Linked DNA regions of Drosophila melanogaster. Changing the gene in region 1 together with any one later gene gives a genetic interaction. Each region holds a gene or a part of one and is shown in the gene's direction. Other genes may lie near its edges. The genes, in order: ac, Amun, Act5C and klu.

Region 1 (3,378 bases):
CAATTTTGAAGACCCTAATAAACATGAGTACATACTTTGTACATACTTTTCATTTATCGGCTAGAATACCTGTACGATCAACATTGGTACTGAAATGTACGGAAGCTGTCCTGTAATCGAGGCCTTACTGTGTCGCAAGCATGCCGCTTTAAGAAGTGTGGAATAAATGAAACAACGTCAAGTAATCGGCAGACCGAGTCAATATTAATGACGACTTCATCTTTATTCGGTTGATACGCCATATATTCAGATCTCAGTTCTTCCCCCCTTAAGTTTATCCCGTCACGATTTTTCGGTTTTCTGTCGCAGGGTCTTAGTAACATTTATTGTACTATTTAGTCGTTATCAAGCAGAAAAGCTCAAGAAGAGCACTTGTGGCGCTAAGCGATATTCAAAGCAAAAAATAATAATAAAATTGCAAATTCATAAACCTGGTTGACACTGAATACCTTGTCTCAATGCTTCGCGGCAAATTTATATTACATCAACACGGATTTTGCAAGGTCGACCGGATATGTTTGATTTTATTAGCCTCTGGACATCTGGTATGTCTGTGCTTAGATGCCCTGTGATGTCCTTTTCACATGTAATGCTATGCAATCCCCCGGGGCTACAGCAACGAAGTGTTAAACGAGGCTCAGTGTGAGTTAGTGCCAATACAAATCTATTTCGGCACGGTTTCCTAGCGTGCAACCAGAATTCTGACAATGGTTTTAAGAAATAATGGGGACCTCCTAAATGCTTTCAAAATGCTTTCGGCTGAGAGGAACAACAACTGATACGTTGGGCATAAAGGCCCCGGGGCATTAGAAGTGTTAATAGAAAAGTGCCTCCGGCTGATCAGGTTTCGTTGCAGGACCGAATGGATCGCCGCCTGAGGTGTTGATGAGCTGGCCTTGAAAATTCCTACGACTTTGGATTCGAGCGACAATGGTCTAGTGTTTAAGATAATGTCCGAATGATCCAGGGATCGGAAGGTCATCAGTACATAAAATAAATTAAATTAAATGTATTAACATAAAATTAAAGATTTTTTAAAAGTCTAAAATACCTAGCCTTGTTAATTAAAGATTATTTTTTCGTAAACACTTTTGGTAGTGTATAAATTGTAAATGTCCCCATTTTTATAATTGTAATGACAGTCTATTCCACTAATTTTGTTGTATTTTGTTAGTTATACAAATTGGATGGCCACTTTCAATAGGAGATACAGCTTTTTACTTCGGAGGTGTTTTTACTTGGCTCTGATGTCTGGACCTTGTTGCCTTTTTAAACCGGTTGGCAGCCGGCACGCGACAGGGCCAGGTTTTCGTTTGGGGACGACAGGCAGCTGAAAATGAGCAAAAACACTCAGAAACTCTTCCCACTCGACAACGGGAACACTCAGGTCACCAACAGCTGCGTTTTACAGAGAGAACGAGAGATAATATTACTACCTCTCTATTAAAATCAGAGAAAACACTCATCTCAAGAGACGATCCTTCAGTGATGATGCTGTTGCACCTTTTCCAGGGGCAGGTAGGTAGTCACGCAGGTGGGATCCCTAGGCCCTGATACCTATAAATAGCCTGAACGGAACGGGGAAGGGCATCAGAACAGAGCCAGCGCTGAAGCAAGGAGCATCGTCACACAATAACGTTATACTATCTCTTAAAATGGCTTTGGGCAGCGAAAATCACTCTGTTTTCAACGACGACGAGGAGTCATCTTCGGCCTTTAATGGACCCTCTGTTATCCGGAGAAATGCCCGGGAACGCAACCGCGTAAAGCAGGTCAACAATGGCTTCAGCCAACTACGACAACATATCCCTGCGGCCGTAATAGCCGATTTAAGCAATGGTCGCCGGGGAATTGGTCCCGGCGCCAATAAAAAACTGAGCAAAGTTAGCACACTGAAAATGGCAGTAGAGTACATACGGCGCTTGCAGAAAGTTCTTCATGAAAACGACCAGCAGAAACAGAAACAGTTGCATTTGCAGCAGCAACATTTGCACTTTCAGCAGCAGCAACAGCATCAACACTTATACGCCTGGCACCAAGAGTTGCAGTTGCAATCTCCAACTGGCAGCACAAGTTCCTGCAACAGCATTAGCTCTTATTGCAAGCCAGCAACATCGACGATTCCGGGAGCAACACCTCCTAACAATTTTCATACCAAGTTGGAAGCCAGTTTTGAAGACTACCGTAACAATTCCTGCAGTTCTGGTACTGAAGATGAGGACATCCTCGACTATATATCACTCTGGCAGGACGACCTGTAAAAAAACAGATCAAATCTTCAGCTATTGCTAGTCGCACCCAACCATAACACACATCAAACCATTGATTGGCCAACAAGTATTACCTCAGCCACAAAGTATTTATATTCCCTAGAACTACCTTTTTGCCTTATAAATTAGTATTTAAGGTTTTATATAGTTTCTAAGGATAGTTTCTAATGGAAGACAATTTATATTTAAGTTTTTTTTTATAGCATACATTGAGGACATTAAACTGATATATATAAAATTTTAAATGAGTTTTTATTGTAAACAAAATTAAACGGTAATTAAAGTGAAACAAATTTATGTACAAAAGGAGTAAAATTCAGAAAAGTTTTAATGAACAAATGCTTTATGAATATGGGCGTAGCAATGTTTTGATACAAACTTGATCCTGTCCTGTATACCACAGGACACGCTTCCTTTTACCTGGTACATTCCTTTAAACGATCCTAGTATACGCTTTATTCGGGGTAAGCCCGAAAAAAGTATTCGAAACTGTAACCGTTAAGTATTTACAGATCACTAGCCAATGAAGATAAATTACAATAACATTTTGTAAACACTTTTGATCGAAAACGCCGATTTGCATAAATAAAGTTGGATTGAGTAGGGTGAAAAAGGCAAAATATTTACCTGCTGCATTTTTGCATATGAACCGGTCAAGGTAATAAGATCCTGAGAATTCACAATTCCGGAGAGATCGATCGATCGATCGATGAATGAACTAATTTTGAGTTATTCCCGCAATGCAGCCGAAACAAGCGAAAAAACAACGGTCGGCAATTGTTCAGATCGCCCCCGACAACGTTCAGAAAAATGAAAATAAGATCTGCTCAGGCATTCTGCACCGGAAGCCGCCGCGATGAAGCTGCTGCAAAAAAAACTCACGCAAGATACATATACTCTAAAAACAAAAGAAACATGGTTCATGGGTCTTTTCGGCAAATTCTTCACCATATTAGATCACTACATCACACACCAATCTATTCATTAGCAACAATAAAACACTAATAGAAATTGATAATTTGTATACCTAGTTCTTGTCTATTAATCATAAATATTATACTTTTACATGAACCTGAGTCGTGGAAGGTATACTTTTTAATGAACGTAA
Region 2 (7,601 bases), about 11 Mb from region 1:
GGTCCAGTTCCACGGTGAACTGCTTGTCCTGTTTGCCGGTGTCCTCCTCCTGGGACGCACGGGTGATGGGCAGGAGGGGCGACAGGAGGAGGCCACACACGGCAACGGATAAAATGGACCTGGTCAACATGATGCACGGAACGCTTGGAGAGATCTGAAAGTGTTGGGGGACCACGTCCGGATACAAAATAAAATTTCGATGAATAGGACTAGAGATGCCAAAAAGGGCAATCGATAGACAGGCAAGGCCAGCTGATCATCGATTTAAAAAAATATACACATGTTGTTAAGGGGAACTATATATTAATAAATAACAATGAAATGGAATTATGTTCGTTTTTTTTTAAGAATTTAATTTTTAGTCACAAAAAATATATAAGTACAAGTACATCATCCTCTTCAAGTTTAAAACAGTCTGGCACCGGTAAAAGGTTAATCTGGCAACTTTGAACAACCACTTGTGTGTATTGGTGCGTGAACAGCGAGAATGGCAAAATACAAAAACGAGCGAGTCGCACACACAGAGACGTAGTTGATTTGGAAAGGGGCCTGTGCGAAAAAGTTGCTTGTATACCGAATGATTAATACATACAGCTGTGTCATGGCAAAGAGAGAATACAAATTCAACCACTACGAATTCGAATGTCGCTCTCCAGTGGGGATTTTAGAAAATGAATCATTATAAGTTTTAAAAAATACTCGAATTTATAATTCGAAAAACGGGTTTTGCAACAGGGAAAGCGGGAAAATGTCGCAAAACAGATGGGCATCCGCATCGAGTATCGATGCGATATATCGCACGCATATCGCCGCGAGAAAAGGAAGCTATCTGGGTCTAGCCGACGTTTTGATGCTCTATAGTGGAATATTTTCTAATAAATTAAATTTCGCTTGATCGATTTTGCAGCAATTGATAAAAGCTTATTTCAGTAGATCATCAAATTGGAAAGCCAATCGCACTGAAGTACATATGAAACCATATAATTGATCATATTGATAATGTATTAGATAGGATTGCCGCTATCTGAAAAAGTGATAATGCTCTATACAAGGGTATAATGAACGAATGGCAGGCACATGGAAGCCACAAACAGAAACAGCAAAATTGCAGCTGCTATGTATGTTGCTCGACGAATAGGGTAAAAACGGCAACAGCGAATGATGGCGGCAAAGGCAAACGAGCGATAGGTGAACTGAGGGGCGTACCTGCGGGGGGATCGAACTTGAGTCGACTGTTAAGTAGGGTTCTGTTTTTTAAATATCAAGTTGCCGCTCGACCGCTCTCTCAGCTTAGACTTTGAGTAGCACACGTGTGTACTCGATTATGGAACCAGCAGCTGTTCTCGAATTAGTTAATGCTTGAACGCTGGAATAGTTTTGTAATATTTTAGATATTTATACATGTATAGCTACCATTTGATCACTACAGTGTCATCTGTAAATGCTCCAACCCTCAAACCGCTGAGTAATTAAGTACATTATTTAATATGTATGCATTTTTAATAAATGCGCAAGTAGACAAATTATATGCACTTAACTGCATGTAAGGGCAACTTTTTAACCAACCAACAACATATGCATGAATTTCTATCGCTCTTCGTGCTGAACCATAAATAATTTCGGTTCGCGCAAACAAGTCAGTAAAATTCAGCAAACCTGACGCACCCCCTCATGAATATGAATAATGACACGACGCCGCTGTCGCTGGCAACTGGCACAACAAAAGCAGCGAACATGCAGTGACGCGCTGTTTACACTAGAATATCGCGAATTCTTAAATTATTAACAAGTCTCACTGGAGCCCAACCCACTCACAAAACCCATTCCTTTTTGATTTAATTGAAGGACCTGAATATAGAGATAACTATTGTTAAAAACATTCTGCTGTTTGTAAAAACATGAAACATAATTGCACTAACTAAGCTAATAAGGGTAAACATTGCTAGAATATAGATATTTGTTACTCGAAGTTTCTATAACTCGAACATGGGTTTCGGTAACATGGATGTTGATCGACAAAGCCGCGTTTATGCCTCCGCTTTAAACAGGTATTCGTGTAATGACGCACTGCGCATAAACGCAGCGGCAGAGGCGATGGCAGAGCGGCGGCAGAGAGCACGGACGTCGCCGGCAAAATGAAATGGAACGCCGAGGGTGCCAGAGAGATACAGATACATTCGGGCACCGAGTGCGGGCGAGATAGAACGACAACTCCTGTTCCCGGTTCGTCGTCGTTCGTCATTCCCATATTCGCTTCTCGTATTCCCTCCCATTCCCATTCGCAATCCCAATTCCCAATTCCCGTCACACGAGTTAGCAGCACATCGCACAGCTGCATCGCTCCGCTCCGATCCTTTTTAATTTTTTGTTGTGCCTTCGGTGGCGTGCTCATTTCGAGAACAGAGTAACCCCTTTTTATTTGTCAGTTGTCAACGGCGCCCCTGCAGGCAGAAAGCAGAAACTGAAACAGCAGAGGAAGAAGAAGAAGCAGCACAGCACGGGCACAGCACGAAGCACGCAGCACAGCACAAGCACAGAGGCGAAGCGAAGCAAAGCAAAGCAGAGGCAACACAGAAAAACAGCAAAGCATTGGAGTAGTTGTTTGGATGTGGACGGAAAGGAAGACTGGCGGCGACTAACTAAAAGGTATTTGTTGTTCACCCACTCATCTGTGTGCGTGCAGTGCGCTAGTGAAAAGCTGTTCTCACCGTTTGCCAAAAAGACAAGAGGTACGAAAAAAGCACAAACAACAACAACAGCGAAAAATAGTAGCATTCGTTTATTTAATGCTCGCGTTCGTATTTTTTTTGAAAACCTAGATGAAAAAGAAATTTTCTGCTGCTGCTGTTGTTGCCTCAGTATATAAGTGTGTGCGTGTTTAAGTCAGTGTGTGTGTTGTGTGCGTGTTTTTGCCTGTGTATGAGCGCCTGGCTCTCTTTGGGTGTGCGAGAGCGAGTGTGCTGAGTAAGTGTGTGTGTGTCCATCCGTGTGCCTGTCAGTTTGACTGTGTGAGTGCATGGCGGACTAAAAAGAACCCGACGACAGCACTGTAAAAATTCGATTTGTGTGCTGTGCAAACGGCGGCGGAAGCGAGCAGATTTTTGGCAAATAGTGAGCGATTATCGGATTGAGTAAATACAACAAACAACAGAGACACGGCCGCAGCAGCAGCAGCATTAACAGTAATCAATCGAACTACCTCCCTATGCCACCGCACCGATCCCCCTTGCATATGTAATCGTAACTGTAAACCTAATTGTGTGCCTCTTTTCTTCTCTTTTCATCCACTCTCCTTTGCGTTGCTGCTTCTTCGTGCTCCCTCTCTCGCACTCGCATTCTCTCTGTCTCTCACGTACTCGCTTCTTTCTCGCCGGGAACTCTCAACGCACGAATAGCAGTACGTTGACAGGAGCAGCTCGGAACGGACAGGAAAAGCAGGAGACTAAACAGTAAGCAATAAATTGATTTGGCGTATAGTAGCTTACACCAAAGTACATATATTGCCGCATATATAGCCAGCCGGTCACTTGCGGATCAGCCAACGTCCTGGGCCCCAAGGCGATAGATACCACGATAAGGAGATACAGCGATACCACCAATCATTAGCAGGCGACAACGACACATCCGCATCCGCAGAAGATGTCCAACGGCAAGGCGACGGTCTCGTTCTTCGAGACCGGGAGCACCAAACAGTTCGAGTACTGCTACCAGCTCTATCCCCAGGTTCTTAAGCTAAAGGCCGAGAAGCGCTGCAAGAAGCCGCAAGAGCTGATCCGCCTGGATCAGTGGTATCAGAATGAACTGCCCAAATTGATTAAGGCACGCGGCAAGGACGCGCATATGGTATACGATGAGCTCGTCCAGTCGATGAAGTGGAAGCAGTCGCGCGGCAAATTCTATCCGCAGCTATCCTACCTGGTCAAGGTCAACACACCGCGCGCCGTCATCCAGGAGACAAAGAAGGCCTTCCGCAAGCTGCCCAATCTGGAGCAGGCGATCACAGCTTTATCGAACCTCAAGGGCGTTGGCACCACAATGGCCAGTGCACTGCTGGCAGCCGCAGCTCCCGATTCGGCACCATTCATGGCCGACGAGTGCCTGATGGCCATACCAGAGATCGAGGGCATCGATTACACCACCAAGGAGTACCTCAACTTCGTCAATCACATTCAGGCCACCGTGGAGCGCCTCAATGCGGAGGTGGGCGGGGATACGCCGCACTGGTCGCCTCATCGCGTGGAGCTGGCCCTCTGGTCACACTATGTGGCCAATGATCTCAGTCCCGAGATGCTCGACGATATGCCGCCGCCTGGATCCGGCGCCTCCACTGGCACCGGTTCACTCAGCACAAACGGCAACAGCAGCAAGGTGCTCGATGGCGACGATACCAACGATGGTGTGGGTGTTGATTTGGACGACGAAAGCCAAGGAGCAGGTAAGCAGCTAAGATGATCCGATAACTGCGGCTTGAGTATACACCCTTGCAACAAAACACTCAAACCGAGTGGTCTTTTCCAGAAACCAAGTATTTTTCCTATCCGGAATTTTCCATTAAACATTATGTTTGTAGTAGCCTAGTGGTCAATTTACAATTTACAATTTATTCGTTACTCGTGGCGTCATGTTAAATAAAAAGGAGGAATTGTAAAGTTACTACTGTAAAATAGTTAACTTTTAACATATTATCAGTAGCTTATACTTGTTGGCAGCTTTTCAAAAGTGTTAGGATGTCTAATAATTTCAAACACAGAGTTTCTTTGTTTGATTACTCTGACCGCAGTTCGCCGAGTTAACAAATTGACCATTGATGGCTAATCCAATGCTTTCTATCCCCCAGGCGGTCGCAACACTGCTACAGAATCGGAGACAGAGAATGAGAACACCAACCCGGCTGCTCTGACGCCTCTACAGTCGGGCGAGGCCAAGAACAACGCAGCTGCCGTTGGCGCCGCCCTGCAGGACGGTGACTCCAACTTTGTTTCGAACGATTCCACCTCCCAGGAGCCGATCATCGATGACAACGATGGCACCACACAGACAACGGCCACCACTTCCACAGAGGACGGTGAGCCCATCGCCCTAGACATTGGCATTGGCATCGGTTCGAGTGGAACACCGCTCGCCTCGGACTCTGAAAGCAATCAGGAGGCGCCGCCCAAGACCAACAGCCTGCCCATCCTGACTCCCACACAGCACTCGAGCCAGAATCAGAATCAAAAGCAGTCGCCGAGCCAGCCCCACAAAACTAACAATTCGATCACCAACAACGGTCAGCCTGCTCCTTTGGCAGAAGAGGAAGCGGTTACAGCAGCACCACAGCCAGCCAGCAAAGCGACTGCAGCACCAGCCAATGGAAATGGTAACGGGAACGGCGTCCTGGGCGACGAGGATGAGGATGAGGCGGAGGACGAGGAGGAAGATGAGCTGGACGAGGAGGAGGATAATGAGGCGGAGCTAGAGGCTGACGAGAGCAATAGCAGCAACGGCATTGTGAGGGACAGTAAACTGCAGCAGCTGGCGGCGAACAAGGCGGTGGATGCGGTTTCACCGGTAGCAGCGGGTGCAGACTCGGCACCAGCCATTGGACAGAAGCGTACTGCCCTGCACTGCGATATGGAGCTGAAGAACGCCGGCGGAGTGGGTGTGGGCGTGGGGGAGAAGTCACCGGATCTAAAGAAACTGCGCAGCGAATGAGGCGGAGGTGAGGAAACGAAATACGGATACGGATGCGGATGCGGGTCAGAAACGGGGATCGGTTCGGCTCGGCACGTTTCGGTTCGCCGCGTATCCGGTGGAAAGACATATGTATGTAGTGCAGTTGAGTCGACATAGAGACATAGAGCAACATTACCTACACTTTACCACAACAACATTCAAGAAATTCTACTATTAAGCAACTAACTATACATACATATAATATATTATATATATATATATATACACATATATATATATATATATACAACATATAACGAGATGCGAACACCCAACACACTCCACTCTCATACACACAACACAGACACACACAACCCGACATAACATGAACATAACCGATCAGATCAGAGCGGAATATAGGATCCCGATCCAGAAGGCAGTAAGCAGCACCACAAACAACATTTCAATAGCATAGAAAGCGCGCCAAGATGAAGAATCAGAAGAATCCGATCAAGAATCCGAAGAACAAGCAGCAGAATCAGCAGCAACAGAGAGTTCAGAATGCAGCGTTAACGTAATTTAACTAAAACGAAAAGCAAATGCATACATGAATAGTAACTACAAAACAAGATCAGATGGAAATCGATATTTTTACACAGTCAAAAGGAACATTTAAATATAAAGAAATTTACAAATGCCGCAGTTGCCCACTACATACAAAAAACAAAAAAAAAATATGAAAAATAAAAAGCGAAAGAAAACAAAATGATTAAGATGGAAACAACAATAATTATAATAAACAGAAACGTAATTTATATACATAGGTATTTAAATTTAATAATAAATCAAAACTTGTCGTATAAACCAAGCCCCCCACCACCAACTCCACCACCACCCCCTTCGACCGTCGACCCGCAGCAACTCGCGCTCTCTCTCTATCTCTCTCACTCAAAACACGCCGCACACAGAATACACCCCCTCCCCACACACATAAACACACAAACACTCGGAAGAAACAAAACAAAACAAAACTCATTTCAACACTAAGAAATTTTTGTGGTCGTAATTATAATAATATAATTTATATTATGTGTAAAACTTTTTTTTAACTTTACATATACTGAATTTTTTATAATTTATACGATAATCACGTTTCATTTGATTTCCAAAAGAGAAAAAAGAAGATACGGAAGCATACGGCCCGCATCTTAATTGCACCCGACGCAGGTCGTCCGATCTCCGCGTGGTTTGGGTTGCCGGTACCGGGTGGTTTCCCCGATATCCACGACCCATACCACTCGCAGATCGGTCGGAACTTTGAAAGTAACAACACATCTGAAAATTATAATCATTTTTATTATTAGTAGCATAAGTGCGAATAAAATGTGAAATATTAAGAAAACACGGCATAAAACTGAAAACATCCCACAATCATCTTCAATTGTTTTATCACTTCAATGGGGTTTTTGCATTTGGTGTTTGAATAGGCGTTACATCGAGAGCCGTTGGAACTAGTCATCGACTTATCGAAAATAATGTAATGGCTCGTCCGAATATGGCAACGCTCTTCAAGTGGGCAGATGTATCGATGTCTATGCATCGATAGCATGGTGTGCTAACAACACAGCTCTAGTGCTAATCAAAAGAAAACACAGAACAGGACGGAAATATATAGAATACTTTTGCACTTAATTTGACTTGCCACGACTACCTGGCCAACTCGATCGGCGATATAGACCACCGGCCCATCAGTCAATTTCATTCTGGCATTGATCGAGCTCCGTGAAACTTGCATTCCAGCTGGCCACCATCCCATACGTCCATATATCCTTTATAAAATATCTATAAATCGAAGAGGAATCCTAGCCCCGCCGACCATGTCATTGGATCGCCTTGGTTGCTGGCCGGATCGGAGTTAATTGAGACTATGCACCGGAATCGAAACA
Region 3 (7,385 bases), 5.5 Mb from region 1:
GAAGCGTCTTCGGGCGGAGTAGGAGAATGCGGAGGAGAAGGAGAACGAGCTGATCTAGTATCTCTCCACAATCCAATGCCAACTGACCAACTGGCCATATTCGGAGCAATTTGAAGCCAATTTCCATCGCCTGGCGATCGCTCCATTCTTGGCTATATGTTTTTCACCGTTACCCGGGGCCATTTTCAAAGACTCGTCGGCAAGATAAGATTGTGTCACTCGCTGTCTCTCTTCATTTGTCGAAGAATGCTGAGGAATTTCGCGATGACGTCGGCGAGTATTTTGAAGAATGAGAATAATTTGTATTTATACGAAAATCAGTTAGTGGAATTTTCTACAAAAACATGTTATCTATAGATAATTTTGTTGCAAAATATGTTGACTATGACAAAGAACTGGAATTAAGTGGCATATTTTGCATTGCTTTCCGATAATAGTTGTATTTTTATAAAGTAAAGCGTTTGTAAAATAAATACCTTTAATGTATTCTCATTTTCTTATGTATTTATAATGGCAATGATGATACTGATGATATTTTAAGATGATGCCAGACCAAAAGGCTTGAATTTCTGCGTCTTTTGCCGAACGCAGTGCATGTGCAATTGTTGTTTTTTGGAATATTCAATTTTCGGACTGTCCGCTTTGATTTCAGTTTCTTGGCTTATTCAAAAAGCAAAGTAAAGCCAAAAAAGCGAGATGGCAATACCAAATGCGGCAAAACGGTAGTGGAAGGAAAGGGGTGCGGGGCAGCGGAAGGAAGGGTGGGGCGGGGCGTGGCGGGGTCTGTGGCTGGGCGCGACGTCACCGACGTTGGAGCCACTCCTTTGACCATGTGTGCGTGTGTGTATTATTCGTGTCTCGCCACTCGCCGGTTGTTTTTTTCTTTTTATGCTGCGCTCTCTCTAGCGCCATCTCGCTTACGCATGCTCAACGCACCGCATGTTGCCGTTTCCTTTTATGCGTCATTTTGGCTCGAAATAGGCAATTATTTAAACAAAGATTAGTCAACGAAAACGCTAAAATAAATAAGTCTACAATATGGTTACTTATTGCCATGTGTGTGCAGCCAACGATAGCAACAAAAGCAACAACACAGGTGGCTTTCCCTCTTTCACTTTTTGTTTGCAAGCCGCGTGCGAGCAAGACGGCACGACCGGCAAACGCAATTACGCTGACAAAGAGCAGACGAAGTTTTGGCGAAAAACATCAAGGCGCCTGATACGAATGCATTTGCAATAACAATTGCGATATTTAATATTGTTTATGAAGCTGTTTGACTTCAAAACACACAAAAAAAAAAATAAAACAAATTATTTGAAAGAGAATTAGGAATCGGACGCTTATCGTTAGGGTAACAACAAGAAATGCTTACTGAGTCACAGCCTCTGGAAAACTGCCGCAAGCCAGAGAGAGAGAGAAAAAGAGGGAGAGCAGCTTAGACCGCATGTGCTTGTGTGTGAGGCGTCTCTCTCTTCGTCTCTGTTGCGCAAACGCATAGACTGCACTGAAAAAATCGATTACCTATTTTTTATGAATGAATATTTGCACTATTACTATTCAAAACTATTAAGATAGCAATCACATTCAATAGCCAAATACTATACCACCTGAGCGATGCAACGAAATGATCAATTTGAGCAAAAATGCTGCATATTTAGGACGGCATCATTATAGAAATGCTTCTTGCTGTGTACTTTTCTCTCGTCTGGCAGCTGTTTCGCCGTTATTGTTAAAACCGGCTTAAGTTAGGTGTGTTTTCTACGACTAGTGAATGCCCTACTAGAAGATGTGTGTTGCACAAAATGTCCCTGGAATAACCAATTTGAAGTGCAGATAGCAGTAAACGTAAGCTAATATGAATATTATTTAACTGTAATGTTTTAATATCGCTGGACATTACTAATAAACCCACTATAAACACATGTACATATGTATGTTTTGGCATACAATGAGTAGTTGGGGAAAAAATGTGTAAAAGCACCGTGACCATCACAGCATAAAGATAACCAGCTGAAGTATCGAATATGAGTAACCCCCAAATTGAATCACATGCCGCAACTGATAGGACCCATGGAAGTACACTCTTCATGGCGATATACAAGACACACACAAGCACGAACACCCAGTTGCGGAGGAAATTCTCCGTAAATGAAAACCCAATCGGCGAACAATTCATACCCATATATGGTAAAAGTTTTGAACGCGACTTGAGAGCGGAGAGCATTGCGGCTGATAAGGTTTTAGCGCTAAGCGGGCTTTATAAAACGGGCTGCGGGACCAGTTTTCATATCACTACCGTTTGAGTTCTTGTGCTGTGTGGATACTCCTCCCGACACAAAGCCGCTCCATCAGCCAGCAGTCGTCTAATCCAGAGACACCAAACCGAAAGACTTAATTTATATTTATTTAATTAATTTTAATAAAACACACCAAATGTAAGTAGCTTTCCCCTTCCCAACAACAAAACACCATCGAACCACTCCCACCAAGAAAAAGCAATAATCGAGAAAAGCCGCGGAAAATGTGTGATTTTTTTTGTAAACAAAACATTTTTTTATGTGCCAGTGCTGAAAGTGATCAAAAAATACTAGCCACGAGCTAAAGAGTTATTGTATTGACCAAAACTCCAAAAATACCCAAGTTTGGCCCTAAATTGTCAATCAAAATACCAATAGGTCGAAAGACATCAAAATTAACAAAACCAGGGTTTCAAATACCATAACTCAAGAATCAGGATTACAACTGCAGATTTCAGGATATATACATACAAATTATACGAAATTATAAAAACCAAAGCAATTCAATAGCCCCAACTCAAATGTTAGGATCTAATATAGTGTTTAAAGCCAAGCTCGCTGATGTGGGCGTGTCACGATTTCACCCAAAGATATGCCAAATTACGAATTGCAAATCAATTCGCCAACACTTTCTTTTTTTCCCACGCCCTAAAACACCAGATCATCCATAAATGTACATACATACAGTATATGCATATTATAATCTGTAAAACTAGATCAGGTTCTTGAAAATAGTGACGTAGGCAGCCGTTTTGGCTGAAGCAGAAATTTTTGCCGGTTTTTCAAAGTTGTAGTTGCAAAAATGGAGAAAACCTTCGAGCATTCGTTCATATACACACACTCACGCGCAAAATAACGAGAGAGAGTGTATGTGTGTGTGAGAGAGCGAAAGCCAGACGACGGTTTGCTTTTCGCCTCGAAACATGACCATATATGGTCACAAAACTTGGCCGCCGCAATTCAACACACCAGCGCTCTCCTTCGCACCCATAGCGACCATGGCGCGGAGCGAGCGAGATGGCGAGAGCGAGCGACGCCTATGGCGACGTCGACGCAGGCAGCGATTGAAAAACGCAGTTAACTGGCATTCAACATTCACCAGCCACTTTCAGTCGGTTTATTCCAGTCATTCCTTTCAAACCGTGCGGTCGCTTAGCTCAGCCTCGCCACTTGCGTTTACAGTAGTTTTCACGCCTTGAATTTGTTAAATCGAACAAAAAGGTAAAGTTTAACTAGCTTTGAAAAGTTTCGTGGCTCTTAATTGTTAAATTTTCTAGAGTGCGTTTAGTGTTTTTTTTTTTTTTTATTTTGTAATGTTAATTTCGGGTTCCAATTCGAGTTTTAGGCAGCCGCCATTTTAAGGGCGCATACACACAGGCAACTGTGCTCTCTTTGCGGCTTTCTTTTGCACCGGCATTCGTTAAGTGTCGTCTAGAAGCTTCTCCCCTCCCTTTTCGGCATATTCGTATTGTGGTTTTAATTTTTCGGGGCGGGGCCTTCTATTTTGTAACTGTTCTTTTAATTTCTTATTACAATTCGATCGCAAGTGAAAATCAGTTTTCAATCGGAAAAGTATTTTTTTATGAAATTTTTTTTGTCCAAGATTAAAATTTTGTACTAAAAAAACGTACATTGCATTGAGTGATTTTTAATTGTACACGAAAAACAAGTTAGTTTGTTATGACAATTGTACTTTGGTAGACCAGCGCAGTCCAAGGAAACCACGCAAATTCTCAGTTTTTTTTTTGCCATTTCTACATTACCAAATAAGGTAACCAAAAACTAATGGGAAATCCGCATTCTTTCCATTGCAGCTTACAAAATGTGTGACGAAGAAGTTGCTGCTCTGGTTGTCGACAACGGCTCTGGCATGTGCAAGGCCGGATTTGCCGGAGACGATGCTCCCCGCGCCGTCTTCCCATCGATTGTGGGACGTCCCCGTCACCAGGGTGTGATGGTCGGCATGGGCCAGAAGGACTCGTACGTGGGTGATGAGGCGCAGAGCAAGCGTGGTATCCTCACCCTGAAGTACCCCATTGAGCACGGTATCGTGACCAACTGGGACGATATGGAGAAGATCTGGCACCACACCTTCTACAATGAGCTGCGTGTGGCACCCGAGGAGCACCCCGTGCTGCTGACCGAGGCCCCGCTGAACCCCAAGGCCAACCGTGAGAAGATGACCCAGATCATGTTCGAGACCTTCAACACACCCGCCATGTATGTGGCCATCCAGGCTGTGCTCTCGCTGTACGCCTCCGGTCGTACCACCGGTATCGTTCTGGACTCCGGCGATGGTGTCTCCCACACCGTGCCCATCTACGAGGGTTATGCCCTTCCCCATGCCATCCTGCGTCTGGATCTGGCTGGTCGCGATTTGACCGACTACCTGATGAAGATCCTGACCGAGCGCGGTTACTCTTTCACCACCACCGCTGAGCGTGAAATCGTCCGTGACATCAAGGAGAAGCTGTGCTATGTTGCCCTCGACTTTGAGCAGGAGATGGCCACCGCTGCCAGCAGCTCCTCGTTGGAGAAGTCCTACGAGCTGCCCGACGGACAGGTGATCACCATCGGCAACGAGCGTTTCCGCTGCCCCGAGGCCCTGTTCCAGCCCTCGTTCTTGGGAATGGAGGCTTGCGGCATCCACGAGACCACCTACAACTCCATCATGAAGTGTGATGTGGATATCCGTAAGGATCTGTATGCCAACACCGTGCTGTCCGGTGGCACCACCATGTACCCTGGCATCGCCGACCGTATGCAGAAGGAGATCACCGCCCTGGCACCGTCGACCATGAAGATCAAGATCATTGCCCCGCCAGAGCGCAAGTACTCTGTCTGGATCGGTGGCTCCATCCTGGCTTCGCTGTCCACCTTCCAGCAGATGTGGATCTCCAAGCAGGAGTACGACGAGTCCGGCCCCTCCATTGTGCACCGCAAGTGCTTCTAAGAAGGATCGCTTGTCTGGGCAAGAGGATCAGGATCGGGATGGTCTTGATTCTGCTGGAGGAGGAGGAGGAGAAGTCGAGGAAGCAGCAGCGAAAGTGCAAGTGCGAGTGGTGGAAGTTTGGAGTGCAGCACAACAAAATCAACAACAACACCAACTACAAGATGAAAAGAGCGGAACCACCTGCACACCATCATCATTATCATCATCGTTTTGGGCGCATGTTGTGTGGTTCCAGCGTATTAATATAATTAATTTATTCCACATGAGATATGATATGATATACTATGTATTTTTTGTTTTTTTTTTATTTGTAAACCTTTAATATAACAAGAACTACAAAAAATGAAAATGAGCGAAAATGCATATTCTGCCATTCCACACACACACCAACAACACCCAACACACGCACACCCACAAGCTTACACACACACATTCGCGGCATGACAAGGACATCAAGATAAAGAAGAACTTAAAGAAGATATTTCCCAAAGCGCAAAAAGAACACACACACATTGCAAAACACAAACAACACACTAGCGTTTTGTACAATTCGTCAGCAACCTTATGTATTATTTTTTAATTATGATGTAATTATAAACAAAGTGAAACAAAAATATGAAAACAAAAAGGAAAATCAAATCTGTCTTCTCTTTCTCCCGCTCTCCTCGCTCTCTGCTGCTAACCTCGCCCTCTCCTCTCTCATCTTTTTGTCTGTCTCTCTTCCACATTTTTGCCGGCCGGCAAAATAATAACCCACACACACTCACACTTGGCTGCAGTTTCGCGTGCGATATTCACACACATTCAAGCATACAAGCATACATACATATGTATTTTTTTTTTATTTGTACACTTTTCTAATTGCATGCGTATCGATTGATAAGTTTACGCCTGAAAATGTTAATTAAAATGTGAAAATGCAACTGAAAAACTGATGAAATGAAACAACAACAAGCGAACAATTTGCTACATGTGTATTGTCTAACAACCGTTACTGCAACGGTTGCTTCGGAAAAGGGTGAAGAGGAAGAGGGCACGAGGTCGACGAACTAAGGCTGCGACGACAAGCGGCTGTCTCGCTCGCACGCACGCACGCATGCGGGCTAATGATGCGATTAAAGTGCCGTTTTAAATGGCCAAGATCCAAATAAAAGTCGAGATAATAAGGCAAACACGCTAACACAAATCGCTGGCATAGTTTCATCCGCCAGTTTGGCCAAAAGCAGCGGCTGCAAGCGCCGTTTATCCGGTTTTTCCCAAACATTTTCCATTCATGCGGCCAAAGAGGAGGAGCACCCATCTTTCCATCTTTCTCTGACTCGCACGGGCAATGCAGTGCACCGGAAAGAAAGTGGTGCGAATTGGGATTTATAGACTTACTTTATAGACTTACACGTACAAATATACATAGATATTATATTATTTAAATACATTTTTATTATATTGCTTATATATTAGTTCGACTTCGATATCATTTCTGCCAGTATAATTATGGGCTCTGCTTGATTTGGCGCTCGGATGCTACGGTAAAAGTTATCTTTCTGTGCTTTCTCCTTTGATTCTTGAGTTTCAACGGTTCCGTTTTTGTTGATCTCGTTCATCTTCTTCTTCTTGCGTTCTAGACGTTCTCCTTTGTTTTTTGTTCACAACGGATTTCGTAGCACCTTGAGCGGTTTAAATATACATACATATGTAATACATACATAAATACATATGTAGTTAGTGTTTTTTTTCGATATTCGTATGCCCAAATGTTCGAATAATTAGTAGGTCTCATTAAAAACATCACAAATTAAGAGTAAAGCAATAAAAATATAGAAATATGTAGTATAAAATAGTATTCTAGGACTAAGATTGGTCATACCTGCGGTTTCTATGTGAATATGATGCGATGTGTTGCTTCCCCACTATCTACAGGGTATCGCACTCTACGCTTACAAAGTATGAGCCTACCAACTGAATATTCAGCGATGTGATCCCTTTTGGCCAAGGGTCAGCAGCGCGATTGGCCGGATTTCAATATTCCCGCCTTGAGTCCGCCGTACTTCGCACAGAAGCACTTGGAGCAGCGACACGTGCGGATTGATATACGACATCGAAAACCCGGGAGACCAACAACCGAACCACCATGACCA
Region 4 (5,030 bases), on another chromosome or scaffold:
CATACATACATACATCTGCATATGAAATATACGTGCATATGTATAATACCAATAAGCATGTGGCATATAACTTATAGCCAAACACCTACGTTCACTTTTGGCTCTTTGCAGTGCTTCTCTTTTTTGAAAGACCCACGAATTTTGTACGAATCGCGTAAACGCGTTTATTTTCCCTGCCCACAATCACACACACACACACTTAGAGATAGTGGTGTGGGTTGAGTATCTGCGTGTGCGTGTGTGTGTGAGTGCGCCACTATTCGTTCATTCACAAATTGTGTTGTTGCTGCCTTGGCATGCTTTTGCTTTGTTTTTTCTTTTTTTTGGTTTTTTCTCAATTCAGTTTTGTTTTGTAAACACACACATACACACCTGGATGGAGGCGCACACAGATACACTGACACCTCGGCAGCTGCGCCACACACACAACCGCACACACGGTGTGCAAAGAGAGAGAGAGCGCGCTCTCTCTCTCTCTCGTGCATCGGCATTTCAAGTTCAGATATCGTATCTGTGAAGTTGTTTTGCCGGCATTTCGATTCTCACGAGCGCAGAGAGAGAGACCGAAACTGTATCTGTGTGCGAGCGAAACGTGTGTGTGGTATAGGTGAGAGAGTTTATCCGACGATTTTATCCGGGCCTTCAATGCGGCTCAAAATCAGTCAACTGCGATTTTCTTATAATGCAAGTTGGCTTATATGCATGTTAGACAAAAATAACTTCATGGGTACAAATGAAAGTCTAAAATTAAACAAATATATATTTTAGATCATTTTGTAGCGCTTTAATTTTTTTGCGAAGTTAAACAAAAAAGAGTTCCAATTAAGAATATTATATTATTTTTAAAAGAAAATAAGTTCAAAGCCAAGAATTATTAAAAACTAGACTAATTAAATTTCAATCAAAAAGTATTGAATTTACATTTTTGCTTTAGAGAATGTTTGAGTTTTAAACTGTAACTAAAAACGCTGCTATTACTATTTGTAAAACATTTTAATAAATTATATATTTGAAATTGTTTTGTAATTGTTTCTAAGATTAGAAGGCCCTTAAAGTCGATAAAGTACTAAACGCATAAATCAAAATTTTTTGGCTTCTGAGCAATGTAAGTTTAGTTTAGTTTAGAACTCAAATGAAAATGAAATGCTGTATTAAGAAGAAAGGGCTCAATTAAGTGACATATATTGCTCGAAGGATGCGAAAAGTGACCTAAAAGCCGGCCAACTTCCCAAAGGATTCAACGAGCGCTGCTTCTATTTGCCTTCGCCTTCTGCAAGACAGTGGAAAAGACATCCGCTTGGATTCGGATTTCGTTAGCTTATCTTCGCATTCGATGTTATATAACGCCAGTCGGTGGAAGTGGGAGGTGCCTATTCGGAGCTCGACTCGCAACTGGCGACCCAAAAGCGCCAAATGCAGCCGAGTGCCCCCATTGGCATAGAGTTTTGAGCAATTAGAAGCCCACGCAGCCATAAACAACAACTGCTCGGGCGGGCGGAGAGTGGGAGGAGAAGCTCTTCGAGCAGCTCCCACCGAGAAAAGCGGAACACAAAAAAAAAAAAAAGAACTAGAGAAATCTCCACTGCACGTGCTGCTCTTTCTCGCTCTCTCGCGACTTTATCCGGCGAATGAGAGGCCAACAGTCGGCACTAACACACAGATACCGCCGCCTGTTTGCCTCGGTGTGGGTGTCTCTCGGTGCGATGGTATTGGTGCCTGGTATCGTCGCTGTACGAGTGGCGACTCTACTCAGAAGTCAGTTTCTTGCTGGGCAGTGTCGGTTCAGGTTCATCGACGCTCCGCACGCGCTGCCGCAAATTCTTCAGTGCTGAATAACCAAGACGCGTCTTTTTCGGACCCAAAAAAAAAGAAAAATATATAGAAAATATATCCGAACGTAACGTAATCTTCGCAGTGCGCTTACAGACTCCCCCTCCAACCCGCCACACAAAAAACTCTCTTTCTCTCTCTCTCCGCGAAGAGAGTTTCAGTGGTTGGTTTGGATAGGTCTTGGTGGTTCGGTGTTGCCGTCGCTGCTGCCGAAGCTCTGCCGACGCCGACGACGACGCCACGTCGGGAAAACCAACCTCTTGCAGTGAAAATCTTTTCGTACGTTTTCGTTATTTGTTATTCGCACGTTGACGCGACGAGACCGCGAAACACGACAGCACGAAACTGCAGCCCAAAACTGCAACTGCAACTGCAACTGCAACAATAACGATCGCGCGTGCAACAACAGCAATTCGAAATCTAATAGTGGCAAGCTGCAAAGTATCTAAACGCCTAGAAATCCGTAAACTAAACTCGCCAAATCATTTAAAATCAAGTGAAAAGTGTGTGTCTTAACAGCCCATTAAGTAATATAAATCAATTAAAGCCGCAAAACACACAATAAGCCAAACACGCAAACGCAGCATAAGCACAAATAATACATAAAAATAAAAGAAGTGTGATATTTTGATATTAGCAATTAGAGTTTACACAACGCAGCCTAAAAAATATTTGTTAAATGTGTTTTGCCACCCCGAAGGCAAAAGCTACAAATTGGATAATGCTTGGATAATTCCCCTCCTACAAAAAAAAAAAAAAAAATTAAAGGTGAGTTCGCGAGATCGCTCAATTTGCCGACGGCTTAGTCATTTGGACAGCCGAAAGAAAAAAAACTATAAAGTGCCATCTCAGCTGTGCTGTTTGGTTGGTCGAAATGTGTCAAAAGCTGAGCTCCAGTTACGAATAGGATCGGTTTACCATAACACTCAGCGTAATATCAGATCGGCGGCTATATGCTATATACATATGTACATATGTATGTGTGTGCTGCAATCGATTGCACCCATGAATGATGGACTGATGATGAGTCCATATCAGCACGGGCCCCCTCCAGTGGCATCATCCACATCATCATCATCATCATCATCATCATCATCCCAATCTCATCTCACTCCCATGCCATATTGACTCTATCTATATTGACGTCAATCGCAGCAGCAACTTGACATCGCCGATCTGCAGATCGTGTGCCTGGCAAATTGACGCACACAAAAGCGAGTGAGATAGAGAGCCTGGTAGAAAGATAGTACTAGGACCCTTAGCCCCAGTTTCCTCACATCCAGTTGCAGCTCCAGATTCCCACTTCCAGTTTTAGCCAGTCTCGGGGAATTTTAATTGCCCATCTTGGCCAAAAGCAGAGCTGGGCTGCACTCCCTCTCTCTATCTCTCTCTCTCTCTCTCTCTATGTGAACTATGCCAATTGTCTACACCTGAGCCGAAGAACTGCCCGTCTGGCTGACAAATTTGTATGCACGCGCTTCAAAAGTGCAATATTAATTAATTCCAGCAACTCGAGACACGGGCAGCAACAACATCAACTGATCTGTATGCAACAGAAGTTGCAAGTTGCTAGTTGCTAGTTGCTTGTTGCAAGTTGCTGGTTGCTAGCGGTTGCTACTTAGTCGAGGCAATTAAATCGTATGTCATTCATTGGTAATTTATACCATTTACAGGCATCTGCTCGATGTGGTTGGTTCCTTAAACAACAGTTCTGCGATAATAGCTCCGCGATGTTTTACACTTGCCCATTAGCATAGATTACTGCATCAAGTGCTGGACCAAAATCCGTTTGCTTTGCTTTTGACCTGTCTGGCAAACGCCAAACGCCAATAGCCACAACGCTTGATCGATCGCTCTAAACCGATTTCGATTCCGATCCGATCCGATCCGATCGGCGATAAATGCAACTTGCCATGAAAAGTGCTGCCTTAAATGGGCATTAGGCTATTGCACATTTCTCAATATGTCGAGTGATTTTTTCTCTGCTCCTCCAACGCGGCTGACTTATACGCACCGCACCTTATATGACGAACGGCGACGTCTGCCGCTGTCCCACTGCATTTGGCATATAAAACAGACGGAGCCACTCGGTGGCTTCCATCGGTGGTGCAGTTGGGGGGCAATGGTGGCGATGGTGTCTCAGGTGGTTCGCTGGTTGGAGTCTCACCCGCACGACGCCATTTCTCAGACCCCGATGTCAATGGCAATTTGCATTTTCCACACAAAAGCACCTAGGTGCTCCTGGTGGCGGCTCCCTTCCCTAGAAACAGGGCGGAATAAAAAAAAAAAAAGAAAATAACGCCATATATACTGTGTTTGGTCGAGTTAAGGTCCCTGGTTCAGTGGTTAATTTATTTCTGACACAGCCTTAAATTAACAATTTTAATACAAACAACAAAAGAGCGCGCATTGAAATTGAGACGTTGAGCGAAATACAAAAAAAAAACACAAAAAAACTCAGAAAAAATACAAAATAAAATAAAAAACAGTGAAAATGCACACAATAAAGGGAAAAAAAACAAAAAGCTTAAAAGGAAAAAACATAAAATAAATTTACAGCAAAACAAAAGCGTGTTACAGAACAAAGGAGACGATTTTGGGGAGCAGTGAAAGAGGAATGTGTAAAGTGAAATAAAATTCTGGCGCGTTAATTAACTTTAAACGATTGAAAACGAATTGATTTGGAGAAGCCATTTGATTTGGATTAGTCGTGCCCGATTCAGAAAAAATGCCACAAAAGGTTGTGGAGGTGGACCCCCAGCTCAAAGGGGTCACAGCTTTTGGCCAAGCTGCTGGGCTGAAAATTAAAATTCAATCATCACGTGTGCGTTAAAAGAGACACACCATCGGCCATCTAACAATCAGACAGATCATTGGAGTTGTTAATTGAAATGCGTTAAACAATAAAACAAAGACTGTCATGTCTGTCACAGTTGCCAAGTGACTTAACACCTTTGGGATCTGCGGTTAATGCCGATCCCCGACAACGGTGTGGATACTTCGACATCTGATAGGGCCACATCGGAATCGGAACCCTGGACATGCGTCGTTATCATGCATTTGATAAACGTTTTGTTTTTCATTAGAGCCTCGCCGCGGAGGAGGAGATATCAAAGATGCGCTCCTATCCGATCACAACCCTTTAATTAGCAGGGAGTTCAGCTCTGGTTTCTTGGAACCTAAGATCTAAATATTACTAG

Evidence for each region.
Region 2: of ac (region 1) and Amun, changing one suppresses a phenotype caused by changing the other (phenotypic suppression), as found in Drosophila melanogaster (one study listed by BioGRID).
Region 3: of ac (region 1) and Act5C, changing one enhances a phenotype caused by changing the other (phenotypic enhancement), as found in Drosophila melanogaster (one study listed by BioGRID).
Region 4: of ac (region 1) and klu, changing one enhances a phenotype caused by changing the other (phenotypic enhancement), as found in Drosophila melanogaster (one study listed by BioGRID).

Annotation. Positions count from the first base shown.
Region 1 is NC_004354.4:368,439-371,816, forward strand, and holds ac (achaete), read left to right. Parts: upstream 1-1,592; 5' UTR 1,593-1,655; coding exon 1,656-2,261; 3' UTR 2,262-2,509; downstream 2,510-3,378. UniProt on the Drosophila melanogaster protein: AS-C proteins are involved in the determination of the neuronal precursors in the peripheral nervous system and the central nervous system.
Region 2 is NC_004354.4:11,709,603-11,717,203, reverse strand, and holds Amun (amun), read left to right. Parts: upstream 1-2,173; 5' UTR 2,174-2,646; exon of another isoform or gene 2,647-2,729; intron 2,730-2,886; exon of another isoform or gene 2,887-2,964; intron 2,965-2,992; exon of another isoform or gene 2,993-3,182; intron 3,183-3,356; exon of another isoform or gene 3,357-3,395; 5' UTR 3,396-3,449; exon of another isoform or gene 3,450-3,515; 5' UTR 3,516-3,639; coding exon 3,640-4,435; intron 4,436-4,837; coding exon 4,838-5,694; 3' UTR 5,695-7,084; downstream 7,085-7,601. Other genes in the region: prtp (pretaporter), read right to left, coding at 1-130.
Region 3 is NC_004354.4:5,898,579-5,905,963, forward strand, and holds Act5C (actin 5C), read left to right. Parts: upstream 1-2,282; 5' UTR 2,283-2,435; intron 2,436-3,403; exon of another isoform or gene 3,404-3,518; intron 3,519-4,111; 5' UTR 4,112-4,119; coding exon 4,120-5,250; 3' UTR 5,251-6,821; downstream 6,822-7,385. Other genes in the region: CG4020 (uncharacterized protein), read left to right, coding at 7,379-7,385. UniProt on the Drosophila melanogaster protein: Actins are highly conserved proteins that are involved in various types of cell motility and are ubiquitously expressed in all eukaryotic cells.
Region 4 is NT_037436.4:11,005,918-11,010,947, reverse strand, and holds the start of klu (klumpfuss), read left to right. Parts: upstream 1-1,759; 5' UTR 1,760-2,598; intron 2,599-5,030.